Arabidopsis thaliana: one gene and its partners. The protein of the gene in region 2 interacts with the protein of the main gene of each other region in a pairwise test. Each region holds a gene or a part of one and is shown on either strand. Other genes may lie near its edges. The genes, in order: AT2G44130, TT4, TT5 and ARF18.

Evidence for each region.
Region 1: the proteins of TT4 (region 2) and AT2G44130 interact in a two-hybrid assay, tested with the Arabidopsis thaliana proteins (one study listed by BioGRID).
Region 3: the proteins of TT4 (region 2) and TT5 interact in binary tests that used the Arabidopsis thaliana proteins (3 or more experiments, as listed by UniProt).
Region 4: the proteins of TT4 (region 2) and ARF18 interact in binary tests that used the Arabidopsis thaliana proteins (3 or more experiments, as listed by UniProt).

The regions. Positions count from the first base shown.
Region 1 is NC_003071.7:18,251,985-18,255,567, forward strand, and holds AT2G44130 (Galactose oxidase/kelch repeat superfamily protein), read left to right. Parts: upstream 1-1,625; 5' UTR 1,626-1,746; coding exon 1,747-2,976; 3' UTR 2,977-3,070; downstream 3,071-3,583. Other genes in the region: AT2G44140 (Peptidase family C54 protein), read right to left, coding at 3,122-3,288, 3,369-3,439, 3,529-3,583.
Region 2 is NC_003076.8:4,486,474-4,490,793, reverse strand, and holds TT4 (Chalcone and stilbene synthase family protein), read right to left. Parts: upstream 2,319-4,320; 5' UTR 2,033-2,318; coding exon 1,840-2,032; intron 1,754-1,839; coding exon 759-1,753; 3' UTR 532-758; downstream 1-531. Other genes in the region: AT5G13940 (aminopeptidase), read left to right, coding at 1-32, 115-228, 313-531; AT5G13920 (GRF zinc finger / Zinc knuckle protein), read left to right, coding at 3,361-3,558, 3,650-3,811, 3,886-4,320. UniProt on the Arabidopsis thaliana protein: The primary product of this enzyme is 4,2',4',6'-tetrahydroxychalcone (also termed naringenin-chalcone or chalcone) which can under specific conditions spontaneously isomerize into naringenin.
Region 3 is NC_003074.8:20,429,549-20,433,304, reverse strand, and holds TT5 (Chalcone-flavanone isomerase family protein), read left to right. Parts: upstream 1-1,707; 5' UTR 1,708-1,889; coding exon 1,890-2,022; intron 2,023-2,105; coding exon 2,106-2,264; intron 2,265-2,363; coding exon 2,364-2,587; intron 2,588-2,832; coding exon 2,833-3,057; 3' UTR 3,058-3,246; downstream 3,247-3,756. UniProt on the Arabidopsis thaliana protein: Catalyzes the intramolecular cyclization of bicyclic chalcones into tricyclic (S)-flavanones. Responsible for the isomerization of 4,2',4',6'-tetrahydroxychalcone (also termed chalcone) into naringenin.
Region 4 is NC_003074.8:22,886,240-22,891,960, forward strand, and holds ARF18 (auxin response factor 18), read left to right. Parts: upstream 1-1,649; 5' UTR 1,650-1,931; coding exon 1,932-1,977; intron 1,978-2,028; exon of another isoform or gene 2,029-2,248; coding exon 2,249-2,364; intron 2,365-2,447; coding exon 2,448-2,546; intron 2,547-2,616; coding exon 2,617-2,673; intron 2,674-2,764; coding exon 2,765-2,917; intron 2,918-2,995; coding exon 2,996-3,080; intron 3,081-3,167; coding exon 3,168-3,258; intron 3,259-3,337; coding exon 3,338-3,502; intron 3,503-3,592; coding exon 3,593-3,706; intron 3,707-3,778; coding exon 3,779-3,851; intron 3,852-3,939; coding exon 3,940-4,419; intron 4,420-4,500; coding exon 4,501-4,688; intron 4,689-4,798; coding exon 4,799-4,940; 3' UTR 4,941-5,216; downstream 5,217-5,721. Other genes in the region: AT3G61826 (uncharacterized protein), read right to left, coding at 392-484; AT3G61829 (uncharacterized protein), read right to left, coding at 952-1,083. UniProt on the Arabidopsis thaliana protein: Auxin response factors (ARFs) are transcriptional factors that bind specifically to the DNA sequence 5'-TGTCTC-3' found in the auxin-responsive promoter elements (AuxREs). Could act as transcriptional activator or repressor.

The DNA of each region.
Region 1 (3,583 bases), on a different chromosome or scaffold from region 2:
ATGGACCAGCCCCCTATTAATGTTCGACCCCATTCTTATTATTTTCCTTCTTATCCCCGACTTTCATTTTTCTTCTTGTCTATCTATGTTCATATCGTGCGCTAACACCCAAATTAATCTTCTTCCCTTGAAACATGTTTTAAATAACGGCACAAATAGTAAGCGTAGATTCATAAATAACCCCAAAGTAAAACAACAGAAAGCATCATTAATTATCCGGTGGAGACGAGATGACTTGTGTGAGGCTGGAAGTCCGCGAGACATACCTTTACGTCGGTGCATCGCAGAATAGACGTGTCAACGTTTTAATATAATATGTTGAATAATCGAAGAGTAAGACCCAAGGATAGTTAATGCCAATGTATATCCATGAGAACTTCTTCTAGAAGACTATAATAAAGTAGAAACCTTTATAAAGTTATAATCAATCATAATATTATTGATGAATCTTATATTCAAACGAAACTGCCCTCGCAATTTTCTACGTAAAATAATACGTATTACAAAATTAAAAACACATGATGATATCTTACAACTTATAACAACTAAGCACAAATTTTTTGGCAAAACATAAAGAATCTATACATATGGACTATTCGTGAAAGAATTTGTTTGATAGTGCGTGCACATGCCAATATGAAATGAAAATGTCCATCATACATATTAATATACCTGTTTTAAATTGTAGTAAATTAGGGAGAAACAGTTCACGAGATGTTTACTTATCGGTTGACGGTTGCGTCAGTGAATACGACTCATTCCTTATTACTCCATATTATTTGTCTTTGCATAGCTTCTAGAAGCTTTTTGTTATTTCAAATAAAAAGTGATGGTAAAGACTAAAAAGCTCACTACTGGTCTTCGTGAACTTTATTATCAAGATGTCATAGATTCGGTTTCAATTGACACTGAAATGGAATAGTAATCTAGATATCTAGTTGATAAACTAGTTTAAAAAGTTATTAGTTCAAACTGTTTTTAAACTATAGACGCTATACAGTGGTAAAAGCGTTAAACAAAAAGTGCGGCGCAGTATACTGTCAATTTAATTTGTGATTATAATATACAATATTGTTACCTAACTTCACTTAACCAAGTAACCACTGACCTAACTTCAACTATTTGCCTTTACAATTTACATCATGAAACAACATGGACATTTCTTGAATTTTTGGTTGATATTCAAATAATCAAATTCTTATGGAGTATATGATTTACTCCACTGTTAGTTGTTCATTTTGTCCTTATGAAAGTCTTCTAGAAGCTTTCTACTTTTCCTGTTTTATGAAAAGATTGTTTTAACAAAAGCACCGTCTTCATGAACTAAACCAGTTGTTATAGATTCCATTTCAAAGTTTTATTCCTTATTAAGGAAATCGCATCAAAGTAACCCATGTGTTGACTCTTGCCTGTTTGGTGAGATTGAAAGGGAATGATTAAGAAATAAATTTTTAGATACGTTTGCGTTTTGCAACATACACGAATCTTGATTTTTTTCATACGCTGCTAAATCAAGTTTATAGGGGTTTTTAAAAATTTAAACGAACCGTCGCGTTATTTCAACCGCAAGCAAACTCATCCTCCTCTTTCCCTATTTAAAGGCTCTGCCACCTCTTTGTAGCTTCACACTCACTCAAATTTAAATCGCAACTTTCGTCAGTTTTTGTGTGTTTTCTTCTACACATAGACACTTTGCTCAATCAAACACACTCTCTGTTCTGTTTTTCTCAAACTTGTTTAAGTTCGATGACTATGGAAGTGTCGAAAAAGAAAGGTGGAGATTTTCAGCAATGTCACGAATTGATTCCCGGTTTACCTTCCGAACTAGCTTTGGAGTGTTTGGTCAGAGTTCCGTTCCAATTCCAATCCGCCATGAGATCCGTTTGCCGTTCTTGGCGTAGCTTACTCTCCGACTCTTCTTTTATCCAAGAACGGCGGAGATGCGGCAAAACAGAGCTTCTCCTCTGCCTCGTTCAACCGCTAACGCCGCCAATTCCAGCGTCTAAATCGGTTGACGAGACATTAATGGTTGACGAGAAAAAATCAGAGGATGAGTCACACCCGCGCGTTTTCTGCACGCCGCGTTTTGGATTGAGCGTTTACAACGCTGCGATGTCCACGTGGCATCGCGTTGCGTTTCCAGAGGAGGAGCAGATCCCGCTTTTCTGCGAGTGCGTCGTGCTTCAGGACGCCGGGAAGATTCTGCTCATCGGCGGTTGGGATCCGGAGACGTTACAGCCGACGAGAGACGTTTACGTTCTGGAATTCGCCGGAAGGAAGTGGAGACGAGGTGCGCCAATGAAGGAATCACGATCATTCTTCGCCTGCGCCTCCGTAAGTCCAACGAAGGTATACGTCGCCGGAGGTCACGACGATCAGAAAAACGCTTTACGCTCGGCGGAGGTGTACGACGTCGAGAAAGACGAGTGGTCGTCGGTTACTCCGATGACGGAAGGAAGAGACGAATGTCAAGGATTCGCCGTTGGTATGGGTCTAAGGTTTTGCGTGCTGAGCGGTTACGGAACGGAATCTCAAGGAAGATTCCGATCTGACGGAGAAATTTACGATCCAGCGACAGATTCATGGTCGAGAATCGACAACGTCTGGCGATTTCCAGATACTAGCCCGAGAGGTCGCACCGCCGGAGACTTTAGAAGCTCCTCTACGTTATGGTGTTTCACAGACACTGATTTACAGAGTGAACGTCGATGGGAAACTAACGATGATTCGAGAAATTTGAAACTGGATCTTCAATCTATACAGCTTCCGATGACAGGAAGCTCAGTTTTCGCCGGAAGCTTAGGAGGTGAATCGGTGGTAATGATTGGCGGTAAAAGAGAGAGTGAAGGTGAAGGTGAAGGAGGAGTGATGATGAAGATGACGACTGAGAAGAAAATGGGAAAATGGAGTCATCATGTTCATATACCTTGTGATTTCTCTACTCTTCCATTTTCGCATGCTTCAATCTATGTTTGAAAATCCCAAAAGATTTTATAGTACAACATTGTGTTCTGATCTGATGTAATATACACCAACACATATAAAAAACAAAGAACTGGTTAACAAAAGGAAAAAAAGAATTGTAGCTTGAGATTGTTAAAATGTTTGACGATGATCATGATCAGAGCATTTGCCAGTCATCTTCACGTTCATCCTCGCTGTCGTCATCCGCAAACCCGTAGTTGCTTTGGTTTATCGCTGTGTGGGTTTGAGTCACTGTGAACAATGGAGCACCGTTTGATTCCTCAGCTAGTTTCAATGCTCGGAGACAGAAATCGTCGAAATCATCTGTTGAAGATTAGGGAAAGGTTTTTTCAAGTTACAGAATTTAAAAACTTTTGGTTTCAGAGAATGTAGTAATACAATACCTTTGTCGCGGCAATAGAATCCTAGAGCTAGAGATGGGTCGAGTGATTCCAAAGGAACATAACGAAGGACACTGATGCAGATTCAAGATAAAATTAAGAAACAAGATAAAACTGAACCAGGCAAAAGTCGTCTGTGACATGATAATTTGAGGAGACTCACTTGCAATGATAGGAGGATGTGTCAACATCTGGTGTTTCCTTGTTGACTGTGACCA
Region 2 (4,320 bases):
TGCTGATCAAGAAAGGGTGTCCCACAAGCAAGGTATGTGTACTCTGCAAATTTCTTATATGAATATACGAAAGCCGCATACATGTAGAGGCTGACTCAAAAGATGCAATGAAAGGAGGAGCTTGACATGAAAAGTGAAGCATTCATCAAAGAAGAATTTAACGAAAGCTGCAATTTCGACGTGGATGATGCTATCACAAAGCTTGAGAAGCTTGGACTTGTATCTCGTGTGAGTCCCTTGCTATACCTCTCTTCTAATCAGAATGTTCCTCTGAATATGTTCAGTTAAGTAAATATTGTGAGGGCTGGTCAGGATTCAGAAGACAAGTATAGATGCGTGGAAATGAAGGAAGCAAACGAGATAATGGGGACAACTACGGAAGAGATGGTACTCAAGGCAAGACAAGGTGGAGAATATGAAGACGAGGATACAACAGCGACAGAGCCTCAAATGAATCCTCAAGATAAACTTACAGCAAAGGAGGAACGTTTTCAATCTCGGTATGATGAGTTTGAGACCTTGTGGATGTAACAAAGATTTGATGTCATTCAAGACCCATAGATTTAATATTGTAAAAAGACACAAAAAAGAGAGTACAAAAACAGTCGAATAGACCTGTCCAGCACATATCACATATCACATCAAATGAATTCTTCCTTAATTATTGCGTAAACATATAATGATTATATTATATAAAACATAAGACAGGATTAAAGTTTTGCGTAGGTAGGTAGGCAGATAGAAGGCAAGCGTTCTGTTTAGAGAGGAACGCTGTGCAAGACGACTGTCTCAACAGTGAGACCTGGTCCGAAACCAAACAAGACACCCCACTCCAACCCTTCTCCTGTCGTGGCCACACCATCCTTAGCTGACTTCCTCCTCATCTCGTCTAGTATGAAGAGAACGCACGCGCTCGACATGTTTCCATACTCGCTCAACACGTGACGTGTCGCCCTCATCTTCTCTTCCTTTAGTCCTAGCTTTATCTCCACCTGGTCTAGGATCGCTGGACCTCCAGGGTGGGCTATCCAGAAGAGGGAGTTCCAGTCACTTATCCCCAAAGGTTTAAACGCTTCGTCTAGACTCTTCACAATGTTCTTGGAGATGAGGCCGGGAACATCCTTGAGGAGATGGAAGGTGAGACCAACTTCCCTCAAATGTCCGTCTATGGCACCATCAGAGTCTGGAAGGATGGTCTGAGCGGCAGACACCATCTCAAAGATGGGTTTCTCTCCGACAGATGTGTCAGGGTCCGACCCCACAATGAGTGCGGCGGCGCCATCACTGAAAAGAGCCTGACCGACGAGGGAGTCAAGGTGGGTGTCAGAGGGACCACGGAAGGTAACGGCTGTGATCTCAGAGCAGACAACGAGGACACGTGCTCCACGATTGTTCTCGGCGAGATCCTTAGCGATACGGAGGACAGTACCGCCGGCGAAGCAACCTTGCTGGTACATCATGAGACGCTTGACGGAAGGACGGAGACCAAGAAGCTTGGTGAGCTGGTAGTCAGCACCAGGCATGTCGACGCCGGAGGTAGTGCAGAAGACGACATGAGTGATCTTTGACTTGGGCTGGCCCCACTCCTTGATGGCCTTCACTGCCGCTTCTTTGCCTAGCTTAGGGACTTCGACCACCACGATGTCCTGTCTGGTGTCCAGAGAAGGAGCCATGTAAGCACACATGTGTGGGTTTTCCTTGAGGAATTCCTCCGTCAGATGCATGTGACGTTTCCGAATTGTCGACTTGTCGCCTGTGAATAGTAAATACTTGTTAGCTAAACTATGTGAATGAAGATATATGCCAAAGGAAATGAAAGTAGAAGTTAATAAGACGTACACATGCGCTTGAACTTCTCCTTGAGGTCGGTCATGTGTTCACTGTTGGTGATGCGGAAGTAGTAGTCAGGATACTCCGCCTGAAGCACATGGTTCTCAGGGTTAGCAGTGCCAATAGCCAAGATGCCTGCAGGTCCATCAGCTCTCTGAGCCTGTCTGATCTCATCCAAAGAAGAAGCACCAGCCATCACCATTATAGTATACACCAACTTGGGTTTATTAGAGTTTGATGTTGCTGTTGTGTACTAAACAAGTTAGGTGTATTTGGAAATATACCGGAGAGTGAGAGCTTATATAACAAACTGACACGGGAAAAAGAAGATGAGAGTGTGGTAGGTTAGATGGACGGGCAGATGAAGATCTACGTGTCTAGTTGTTAGCCCCCTTTTCTGTGGTTCTTCTTGCTTCCCTTTTTTTTCGTTACTTACCAAGATTGAATGGTGGGTTTTAAATCTTTTGATTGATTTATATATTTGCAACAACAACAACTCATATTAATTTCTACTATATGCCTATTTATTATATATATACAGGTGTATACTGTATATATATCTTAAGATATTTATTATGAGTAAGATATATATTTATTATGTCTTAAGATACGTATCGCTTGTGATAAAAGAATAAAAATTAATACGTATACACCAACAAAGGGCTTTGTTGTATAGTTTCTTCACCATACAGGAGGTTTCACTTCCCAGTTCTTACACGTGCATACTTAACTCCATCATTAGCTCCTACTAATCTAATATTCATTCTTCATTTTTACCTTATGATCCTATAACTAGGCCCAAACAAAAAAAAAGTCCTATAACTAACGACTAATTAAGTAGTGTTACATTAGGTACGCCTCGTTTTCTTTCTCTCACCCCCCATCATAGTGATATCTGTCTGAAAATCTGCCCTATTTGCGCTTTCCAACGGAAGATGCCAAGATGCATTTATTTTGTTTTTCATTAACCATCAAAATAAAATTACTAATGTTCATCACATTCTTTTTGGTATGTGTATTCCACTCGTTTTTATTGTTTTTTGTTTTATCGACCTAACAATAGTTTTAATTGGAAAAATTATACCATAGGCCCACATGGGTTATGAACCATATGTGCCGGGCCCATTATGACAGAGAAATCACAAAACCCGAATGTGTGAAAATTCAATTGCAAGGAAGGACTCCAAACCGTTTTCTTTTAATCCGGTTGACCCGGCCTACCAAAACCGCCAAATCCATTATTGACGGTTAAATATGATAGGCATGCGAGGCGTAGACGCCGTAGAGTCATATCCGCAGAAGCCTATAGATGTTATTTGGTCAGCTGTAGTTTTTAACCGATCAGAACGACATGGTTCTCATATTATACACAACACACTTGTTTCGTTAATCTGCTTAAAGTCTTCAGGCCCATTAAGCCCGTCCCATATTCAGCATGTTTTGTTCAGTCATAGCTAAAAATAAATTATGTGGGCTTAAAAAAGATGACCTGGCCCATATTAACATCCCGAGAAGGAGAATGTTCGACGAATGCTTAACGGCACAATGCAGACCGGAGATTGCTTCCGATGCCGTCAGGCTGGCCACTGGATCAACGATTGTCCTCTCAAATCCTACACCGATGATCCTCCACCGGCGATCCAATGCCCATGCGGCGGAGGTTTCTGTGAAATCAAGGTCGCGAATACTCGAGAAAATCCCGGAAGGAAGTTCTACAAGTGTCCAACGGTTCGTACTCGCTTTCTTTACTGATTCTTCATCTCCTGCAAAATTCGCGAGGAAATTTGAATTTGTTACTGACGACATTTGAAATTCGCAGGCTCAGAATTGCTGTTTCTTCAAATGGTGTGACAAAGTAACCGACGAAGATATCAAATTCCGTCCTGCCTTCACCATCCCGATTTGTTCCTGCGGTGCTGGACCTTGCCGGAGAGTTAAAGACGTTTCCGGTAGAGCTTACCTGATATGCTGCATCAAAAAGGTTTTGACTCGTTCGCAAGTTTAAAGCTCATAGTTGATAATTCTGGTTAACATTGTTTTAAGAAATTGTGTTAGGGATTTGGAGCTTGTGGATTCTTCAAGTGGGAAGATGTTGAGATGATTCCTAGTTGTGATGTTATGGATGAGATTGATTTTTGGGTTGAAGCTGATCAAATTTTGAGTGATGTTGAGAGTAGCTTACAGGCTCGTGGTGGTGTTATACCGGAAATTGCAAACCAAATGGCATCAGAGAAAGAATGTCAAGCTTCTGTTAGTGGTATAGAGGATGATTGTGTAGTAGAATGTCAAGATTCTGTTAGTGCAGAGGATGATTCTACATTAGAAAATTTGGATTCCATTTCAATGTCTGTTTCTGATGTACACTCTACTGCTCTGAACCAAGGTACTTCACTTATGGACAATTTTGATTCTATTAAAGTATTATGCTTGGAATACACTTTTTTGTTCTTTGAACTCTTATGCTATTTACTAGGTATCTCTCTGTTTGAT
Region 3 (3,756 bases), on a different chromosome or scaffold from region 2:
AATTAAATTCGAACCAATTGAATACACATTTGAAATTAGTGTCCTTATAATTGAATTTTGATGCGCAAGTCATTTTGATGAGAAAATTAGAAGATCAAAAATGGACAAATCAAGATACATGGAGAATTAGGATATGAAAAATAGTTTTAAAATTATTGTCTATATGTATGGAACATTAGAACATTTTGGTAGAGAGTAAATGATCAAAAAAATCTGGTTATCTGAGGTGTAAAAAGATTGGCTACTGCAATAAACATGGCACAGATGTTAGAAAATTTAAAGTTAAATGATTCAAAGTTTTATATAATTTGGGACAATTCAAAATCTTGTGACTTATATAATGTGATATTAATGTATTCACTAAACTACAAAGTAAATAATTAATTTACTTTTAAATTTGGTAGAGGTTGATTTTGCAATAATGACTATTAAATGAATAAAGTTCAAACATATCACAGTAGACGTTTAATTTCGAACTACTTATGTATATAAATCGACAATACATTTAAAGTATTTAAATGCGCAGTTAAATTGAAGCCATAAAATTTGCAAACCGAAAATTTATGCTTTCAAACTGTAAACCATTTATGCTTTCACACTGATTAAAGGGCCCTTCTATAAACTTTTCCATTAAATATTTTTCATTTAAATATTAGATGATCTTAAATGGTTTACTCAAAGTAAATATATATATATATGAAGAATTAAGAAAGTGTGGAGCATTTTAAAACTTTTTTTTCTCTAGTTTTTTTTGCTTTTTTTTTTGGGCAACGTTCGTTCCCTCGAGTCTATTAAATTTTTTGCCATTTTTGTTTTTTGTTTTTTCAGTGACAAACTCACATGGATTTCATTTCAGATTCAGTTAGATTTTATTATACTTCAGCCCAGTGTAGGAACAACCGGAACCCAAAATCTAGAGAGCATTCATGGTGGGGTTCAATAGCCCATGTAATAGCCCACTTCCCGGCATCAGAACTGACAAATCCAAAATTGAATTGAAATGTGTTTATAACCCGATTAGTTTTAATATTACGGAACAAACAAATCAAAACCATAACTCAAACTAAACGAAGTCATATAATAGATATGATAAATTTATATTAAACGTTTTATTAAATATAAAAGAGTGTTAAAAGTTTTTATTTATCTAAAATGAACATAGTTAAACGAAAACCCAACCAAATCTAAGTACAATTGTTCAAAACCAAAGTGAACCAAGTTGAATTATTGTTTTTAATTCACAAAACGATTTGTTGAAATAAGGGCTGAAGTCGTAGAAGCTTTAATAGATAAGAAAAGAAAGAGATATGTTGATATTGAGAATACCCAAAAAACTAGGATTTCTGAATATTAGAAACTAGAGAACGTAAGAAATTCTTTGATTTTTTCTTTGATTTTCCGAAAGTAAGAATTAGAGAATACTTTTTCTGAAAAGCTATTTTTTTTTTTTTTAATTTTATTGATCAATCAACTGAATACTGAATACAAAAGAAAACCTGATTTATTTATAATAAAACTCAATTTATTTATAATATAATTCAAAAACCTAGATAAACTCTAAAATAATCATATAATTATCTCAAATAACCAAAATATATAAAATCAATAATATGAAAGATAACGATAGAAAATATTTGAAATTATCCTAACTATGTGCTCTGCATATTTAAGGGCTCAAAGCTTCAACCACCAATTGTCAATGCATCTCCCAATCAAAATATAAAAAAAGAGACGAAAACGAAAGTACACGTGCTTACACATCCAACACTCGTAATCGTAACTATTGCTACCTACCCTTCTCTCTTCTACTTAACCCCAAAGGCCCCAAAAACACAATCAAGAAAAGCTCTGTAACATTATTATCAATCGAAATTCCAACCGACTCAACAATGTCTTCATCCAACGCCTGCGCCTCTCCGTCACCGTTCCCCGCCGTCACGAAGCTTCATGTAGACTCCGTCACGTTTGTACCGTCCGTCAAGTCACCGGCCTCCTCCAATCCATTATTCCTCGGCGGCGCCGGTTCGTTTGTTTGCTCTGTTCTTCTTTATCTTCTTCTTTTTCTTCGTGTTGCTGACTACGTTCCGTTTTGCTAACTTACGCAGGTGTCCGAGGCCTTGATATCCAAGGTAAATTCGTGATCTTCACCGTCATTGGAGTATACCTAGAGGGTAACGCCGTTCCTTCTCTATCTGTCAAGTGGAAGGGAAAAACTACGGAGGAGCTAACAGAATCTATCCCGTTCTTCCGTGAAATAGTCACCGGTAACTTTCTTATAAACACCAATTACTAAACGTACACGTCAAGCTAGGTTTAATCGTCTTGTTTTCAATCTTATGATTGGTTTTTTGCTTCCTTTTTAGGTGCGTTTGAGAAGTTTATCAAGGTGACAATGAAACTGCCGTTAACGGGACAACAATATTCGGAGAAAGTGACGGAGAATTGTGTGGCTATATGGAAACAATTAGGGCTTTATACGGACTGTGAAGCTAAAGCTGTGGAGAAGTTCTTGGAGATCTTCAAGGAAGAAACATTCCCTCCCGGTTCATCGATCCTCTTCGCTCTCTCCCCTACCGGCTCTCTTACGGTAATTTTTGCTTGATTTATACTTTGCTTGAATTTTGTTAATCGTTAGTGCAAATATCAAATTGGAATGAGATACTTGACATGCTTTCGCATTTAAACCACTTGCGAAGGTACTGTTTTAGGTTTTTTAAATGTAAGTACTATTGTAAAAGTTGGCGTTTGGAAGTTTGGAACGATAGTAGTTGTAACGTGTAGGTTTGAATACTTTGTTGACATGTGTTTGTTGTGAACTATACTGTTTTGTAGGTTGCGTTTTCGAAAGATGATAGTATCCCTGAAACCGGGATCGCTGTGATCGAGAACAAATTGTTGGCGGAGGCGGTTCTGGAATCTATCATCGGGAAGAACGGTGTGTCACCTGGCACTAGGTTAAGTGTTGCAGAAAGATTATCTCAGCTAATGATGAAGAACAAGGACGAAAAGGAAGTTAGTGATCACTCTGTTGAGGAAAAACTAGCCAAAGAGAACTGAGAATGATAGATTTTTCTTGTGTTTTTGTCATTTTCTATTTCTTATGTTTTCTATATCTAATTTCTTATGCGGTACTCAAGTGGAGAATAAAGAACATGCATTTACATTATAATAAAGTTTAGGAATTTCGGTGTTTTTCTTTGAAATGCTATTCTAACTTGATTTGATGATATATATGTCAAAGATGATTCAACCGTTGAGGTTTAGATGGGAGTTACTCGGAATCAGATTCCAAAAAACTCTGATAAACCTTATTCGCCAAAAACGTTATTAAAGGATGGTGCTTGACATAAGGAAATTATGGTCCAATAAATTGGAATACTCGGTTGTATTAAAGCAGAGAATCTAACGCTTTTTTGTGGGTTGCGTTTAGCATTGGTTTTGGACTTTTCGGTTACATTTTTGGGGAGTCTAATTCTGTTGAAGAAGAGAGAATAGAGAAGAGTGAAACAGATCATAAGCAACAACGTTTCGAGCTCAAAACAAAGAAGCAACGAGCATTTTCAATGAAAATTTGGTCTTACATTGAGGTTGTTGTGATGAGTCAGACAGGTTCAGTCCTGTATGTTATGTTTTGATTTGAATTTGACTTTAAGATATTGATCCGGTCTTTGATTTGGCCTATGGATCCGCAGGCCAGTCCGTGGTTCACTTGTAATATGTAAAGAAAAACATTGTGGAGCGACTCGCTCATTGTTG
Region 4 (5,721 bases), on a different chromosome or scaffold from region 2:
TAAAAATACTATGAACTTATGATTATACAAACTTGTAAGTAAAAAAGAGTGGTAAGGCTATGTAATATCGTCGACGTTTTCTAGGTAAATCTTAAGCTATAAAAAAGATTTTGAAACCCAAATAGTATCGAGTGATAGCATTAGTCTCATCGGGTGGTTACAAGCCAACATTGATTCGTGTTGCAAATTTTATTAAATACAAGGGTGTACACAAATCAAAACGCAATAATATTTTTGGATCATAGTCTTTCTTCACTATCATTGGGAAAAATAAAATAAAATAAGAAAAATAGCGATAGAATTTCCTCTGTAAATGAGCAAAATTGGTAGGACAAGTCAGCATTTGACACGTGTCGGTCATGAATACGACTAAACAGCGTGGCAATTTCTCTTACTCTGACGTGTCCATGTGGGGACCACTTTCTCCTCCGACACTTCGGCATGGCTTTCTCAACTTTTTATCACTCTTCTTCACCATTCTCATTTACTAAGCGCGTGTCTCCCACCTCTATCCGATTTAATTTTTTAAATTTGACGTTTCAAAAGTTCCTTCTATAAAAGCAATTAACGATAATTATATGAAATCCGTAAACATGAATTTTTCAAATAATTTCGATTTTTGATTTGCTAAGATTAAAAGCGCGTGAAAGAAAAAAAAGAATACAGCATGAACACCAGCGACTCAGAACTGACTCGGCACGTGGTAACATAAAACTCACACGCTTCCCAAGACGCTCGTCCCATAAAGAGTCATGGCTGTGACCTTGTGCGAGTGTGGGTGTAGCCATAGCCTTTGTGGGTCCTAAATAAAAAAAACGATCAATGGCATAATGTGTAATTAACTCACATTCCACAGTGTTAAATAAAAATTAAATCTGTAACGGAAAAAACAATCTATCTGATGTTACACAAAAAAAAAAAATAACGGAAAAAAGAAAATGTGGCCGGGGTTTAATAGAGAAGCCGACACGTTTGCCTGCCACGATCCAGACACAAGACGATGTGGGTAACGGCACCGTCAAGTGCTAACGGCAACGGGGTCATCAGTAAAAAGGGCAATTTAGGGATATAGAGTAAAGTCATAAGCTTATTTATTACTATCGTCTTGATCGGACGGCTGAGATTTGCCCTCTCCTTTAAATGCACCGTACGTTTTTTTTTTACATAATAAAATGTAATTAGTTCATAAGCAATTCCCAAAACGCCGCGTGACCCTTCGTTTGCCTTTGAATACAATTTGTTTTATTTTAGCGCATTTAATATATTTGAGTTTCCTTTTTAGCGATGACATGATAAAACAAAAAACAACAATTTTAGAAAACATTTAATTAAATGAATAGAAAAATAGGGAGATTCAACTGAAGTTACTGTGGGTGGAAATGACAGGTCTCCAGGATCTGAACTAAGAGAAAGTCTCTCTATATTTTGATATATAGAGAGAGATAAAGAAGGAGAGAGTGTGAATATATGTATGTGCATGATACTGTGAGACTTCTTCAGTAAAGGAAGCAGCTTTGGTTTGCTGCGGATCGGGATAAAAACGGCGAGAAGTTTGTGATTGTTGAAGCAAAACAACACGGAATCTGAAAGGAAAGGAGAAGACAAAAAAAAAAAAAGATTTTAAGAGGAAGAGAGAGAGAGATCGGTTTCGTGGCTGACGGAAAAAAAAAGGGGAGAGATTTAGTTTTATCCAACAGTGCCTGAATTACGTTCTGCAATCAATACGGACATAACCGTCCGTTGTGTCCTGTTTATAAAGTTTTGCTTTTTTTATTTTCTCCATTGATGGGTCTTTTCTTTCTTCTCTCTCTCGTGTTTCTTTCATGGGGTTAAGACTAGTGTTTACCGCGTGAAGGTTTTTTTTTCTTTCTATTTTCTTTCATTTCCTCTCCTTCTACTTCTTCTTCTCCAGTTCTCATCTGGGTTCTTCAATGGCGAGTGTTGAAGGTGATGATGATTTCGGAAGTTCTTCGTCAAGTGAGTAGTAAAAGGCTGAGACTTTAGAAAGTTTTGTTTTTTTTTTTGTTTCTAACAGTGACTCTGTTTGGGGTTTTACTCTGTAGAATCAAAATCAGCTTTGTAAAGTTTCGATTTTTTTTTCTTTCATTTTCTCGGGAGACGAGCTTAGAAAGAAATAGAAAAAACCCCAACTTTCTTATTTTTCTCGTATAGCTTCAAAGTTCACATTTTTGTTATAGTTTTGCCGCGGAAATGTGACTGTTAGGGTTTTGTTGTTGTTTGATTTTAGGGTCTTATCAAGATCAACTATACACAGAGCTATGGAAAGTTTGTGCAGGTCCATTAGTGGAAGTTCCTCGTGCTCAAGAGAGAGTTTTCTACTTCCCTCAGGGTCACATGGAACAAGTATATACCCACCCAAAAATCATCTCTTTTTACCCCAATTTTTCTTTTTCCATTCTCTTTCTAAATTCTGGGTTTTTTTGCAGCTTGTGGCGTCAACTAATCAAGGAATCAATTCAGAAGAAATACCTGTTTTTGATCTTCCTCCAAAGATACTTTGTCGAGTTCTTGATGTCACTTTAAAGGTAAAGTTGGATCATAAATGTTAAAATGTTTTATTTCCCCTGAATCTGTTAACTAAATTTTGATTTATAGGCGGAGCATGAAACAGATGAGGTTTACGCTCAGATCACATTACAACCAGAGGAAGATGTAAGTTCTTAAAAAAAAAACTCAACTTTATTTCAGTGAGTGTTAATTTATATTGATTGGAATTGATTTCAATTTACTGTTTTGTTTGCAGCAAAGTGAACCAACAAGTCTTGATCCACCTATTGTTGGACCAACTAAGCAAGAGTTTCATTCGTTTGTTAAGATTTTAACGGCTTCAGATACAAGCACTCATGGTGGATTCTCTGTTCTTCGTAAACACGCCACTGAATGCTTGCCTTCTTTGGTAAATATATTCTTAAAGAAACCTTCTCAATTCAAGAAACTTTAGCTTGAATTCTCACTCCAATTTTACACTTTTTAGGATATGACACAAGCTACTCCTACTCAAGAACTTGTGACTAGAGATCTTCATGGCTTTGAATGGAGGTTTAAGCATATATTCAGAGGTATTGATTCTAATCTTGGTGTGTTTTTGTGAAACTGTGTTTGGACTAAATGAGACATTGACTCATTGAGTGCCGTTTTTGGTTTAGGACAACCACGGAGGCATTTGCTTACTACGGGTTGGAGTACATTTGTATCCTCGAAAAGACTTGTAGCTGGAGATGCTTTTGTGTTCTTGAGGTACTTTTGAAATTGAAACTTTATTCACTGGTCTTGTTTAGTTTCATGAACCTAAATGTAATGCCTTTGTGTTTTTCAGGGGTGAGAATGGGGATTTACGGGTTGGAGTGAGACGATTAGCTCGGCATCAAAGCACAATGCCTACTTCGGTTATTTCAAGTCAGAGCATGCATTTGGGAGTTCTTGCTACAGCTTCTCATGCTGTGCGTACAACAACAATCTTTGTTGTCTTTTACAAGCCTAGGTATATAGTAATGTTCTTTAGATGATTTTGCTTTATATACATAGATGGTTTAGGACTCTTTGATTGAAGAAAAGTTTTCTCTCTTTGCAGGATAAGCCAATTCATAGTTGGGGTGAACAAGTATATGGAAGCTATAAAGCATGGATTTTCTCTCGGTACCCGATTCAGAATGAGGTTTGAAGGAGAAGAGTCTCCTGAGAGAATGTAAGAATCCATTTTCTCTGATCATTTCTTTTTTGTCAGTGTTCTTGATTCTGAAACCTGGAACGTCTTCAGATTTACTGGTACGATTGTGGGAAGTGGAGATCTATCTTCACAATGGCCAGCTTCTAAATGGAGGTCATTGCAGGTTCAGTTAACCATTCCACGTTCTTACATTTTAGTGTTTTACTTATTACGTGGTCTTTATATAACGTTTTTGTCTTGGTCTTTCTTAGGTACAATGGGATGAGCCAACAACAGTTCAGAGACCAGATAAAGTCTCACCATGGGAGATAGAGCCTTTCTTGGCAACTTCCCCAATTTCAACTCCTGCTCAACAACCACAATCGAAATGCAAGCGGTCAAGACCCATCGAGCCATCAGTTAAAACACCAGCCCCACCTAGTTTCTTGTACAGCCTCCCTCAGAGCCAAGATTCCATTAATGCATCCCTTAAACTGTTTCAAGATCCATCACTTGAGAGAATTTCAGGTGGATACTCCTCAAACAACAGCTTCAAACCCGAGACTCCTCCTCCTCCAACGAATTGTAGCTATAGGTTGTTTGGATTTGATCTCACAAGCAATTCTCCTGCTCCAATCCCTCAAGACAAGCAACCGATGGATACTTGTGGAGCTGCCAAGTGTCAAGAACCCATCACTCCAACCTCAATGAGTGAGCAGAAGAAGCAACAAACATCAAGAAGTCGAACTAAAGTAATTTTCTTTATCAACTCATATAATAACATAGCAACAATGTTTTGAAAATCTGATTTCTTTGATCTTGGATTGAAAAAGGTGCAAATGCAAGGCATTGCGGTTGGTCGTGCGGTTGATTTAACACTGTTGAAATCTTACGATGAACTGATTGATGAGCTTGAGGAGATGTTTGAGATTCAAGGACAGCTTCTTGCCCGAGACAAATGGATCGTTGTCTTCACTGATGATGAAGGAGATATGATGCTTGCTGGTGATGATCCGTGGAAGTAAGTTCTAAAATAACAGAGTTAAACATTTCCGGTTTAGCTCAAATCAGTTAAATGTGAACTTAAACCGGAACTGATTTTGCAATGTTCTGTTGTGTGGGATTGTGCAGTGAGTTTTGCAAGATGGCAAAGAAGATATTTATATATTCGAGCGATGAGGTTAAGAAAATGACAACGAAACTGAAGATTTCTTCGTCGTTAGAGAATGAGGAATATGGTAATGAATCATTCGAAAATCGTAGTAGGGGGTGAGAGTTTTAGCTGTTAATTAAGGTTAATTCGGCGACGTCGTTTTAGTGCGTAAGTGTCTAAAGACTTTTTTTTTAGTCTGTGTATATAAAGTCTTGTCCTCTTTTTCATGTCAATTTTTCAAGTTGGCGATTTAATATTTCGGTTTTGGGACAGTGGTTGATGGGGCGGTTTTACATCTTTTATGTGTATGTACTTGTTCCATAACCATTCAATTTTCAAAACCAAGTACATTCAATTAGTTATGGGTTCAAAGATTATATTTCTAATCAATAATTAAGGCTTAAAAAAAAAAAAACTACAGTATTAGAGAAGAATACAAAATACGTGAAGGCGTGGAAATCAACGCGGCGGGCATCATATGAAAGTCATGGAAAAGTAAAGGAGTCAAACGACTAGTTAAGATTCTCTTTTGGAGTTGGTAAAAATATTTGTGGATTAATGAACTTCTAGGATATAGTGTTATTAGAAAATTGAACTGAAATCGAAAAAAATGAAAACTAAACTTTGGAAGTTCATGTTATCGTGCCAAAAATAAGTCTCCATGATGTTCTCTATAAAAATTCTTAAGTTTTAATTTCCAAACCTTTTAGCTGCATCAGATTTTTCTTTAATAAAATGCAAATGACAAAAGAAAGAAAATCTATTTTGTTTTCGGATAAAGTCACATATGAAGTGTATACTGTAGTTGATATTTGTCAAAAAAAAAAATATTGTTTTAAACTTTTAATTCAGATTTGCCTTATAATGAAGAAGAAAACAATACAATTATTTTCAAACTTAG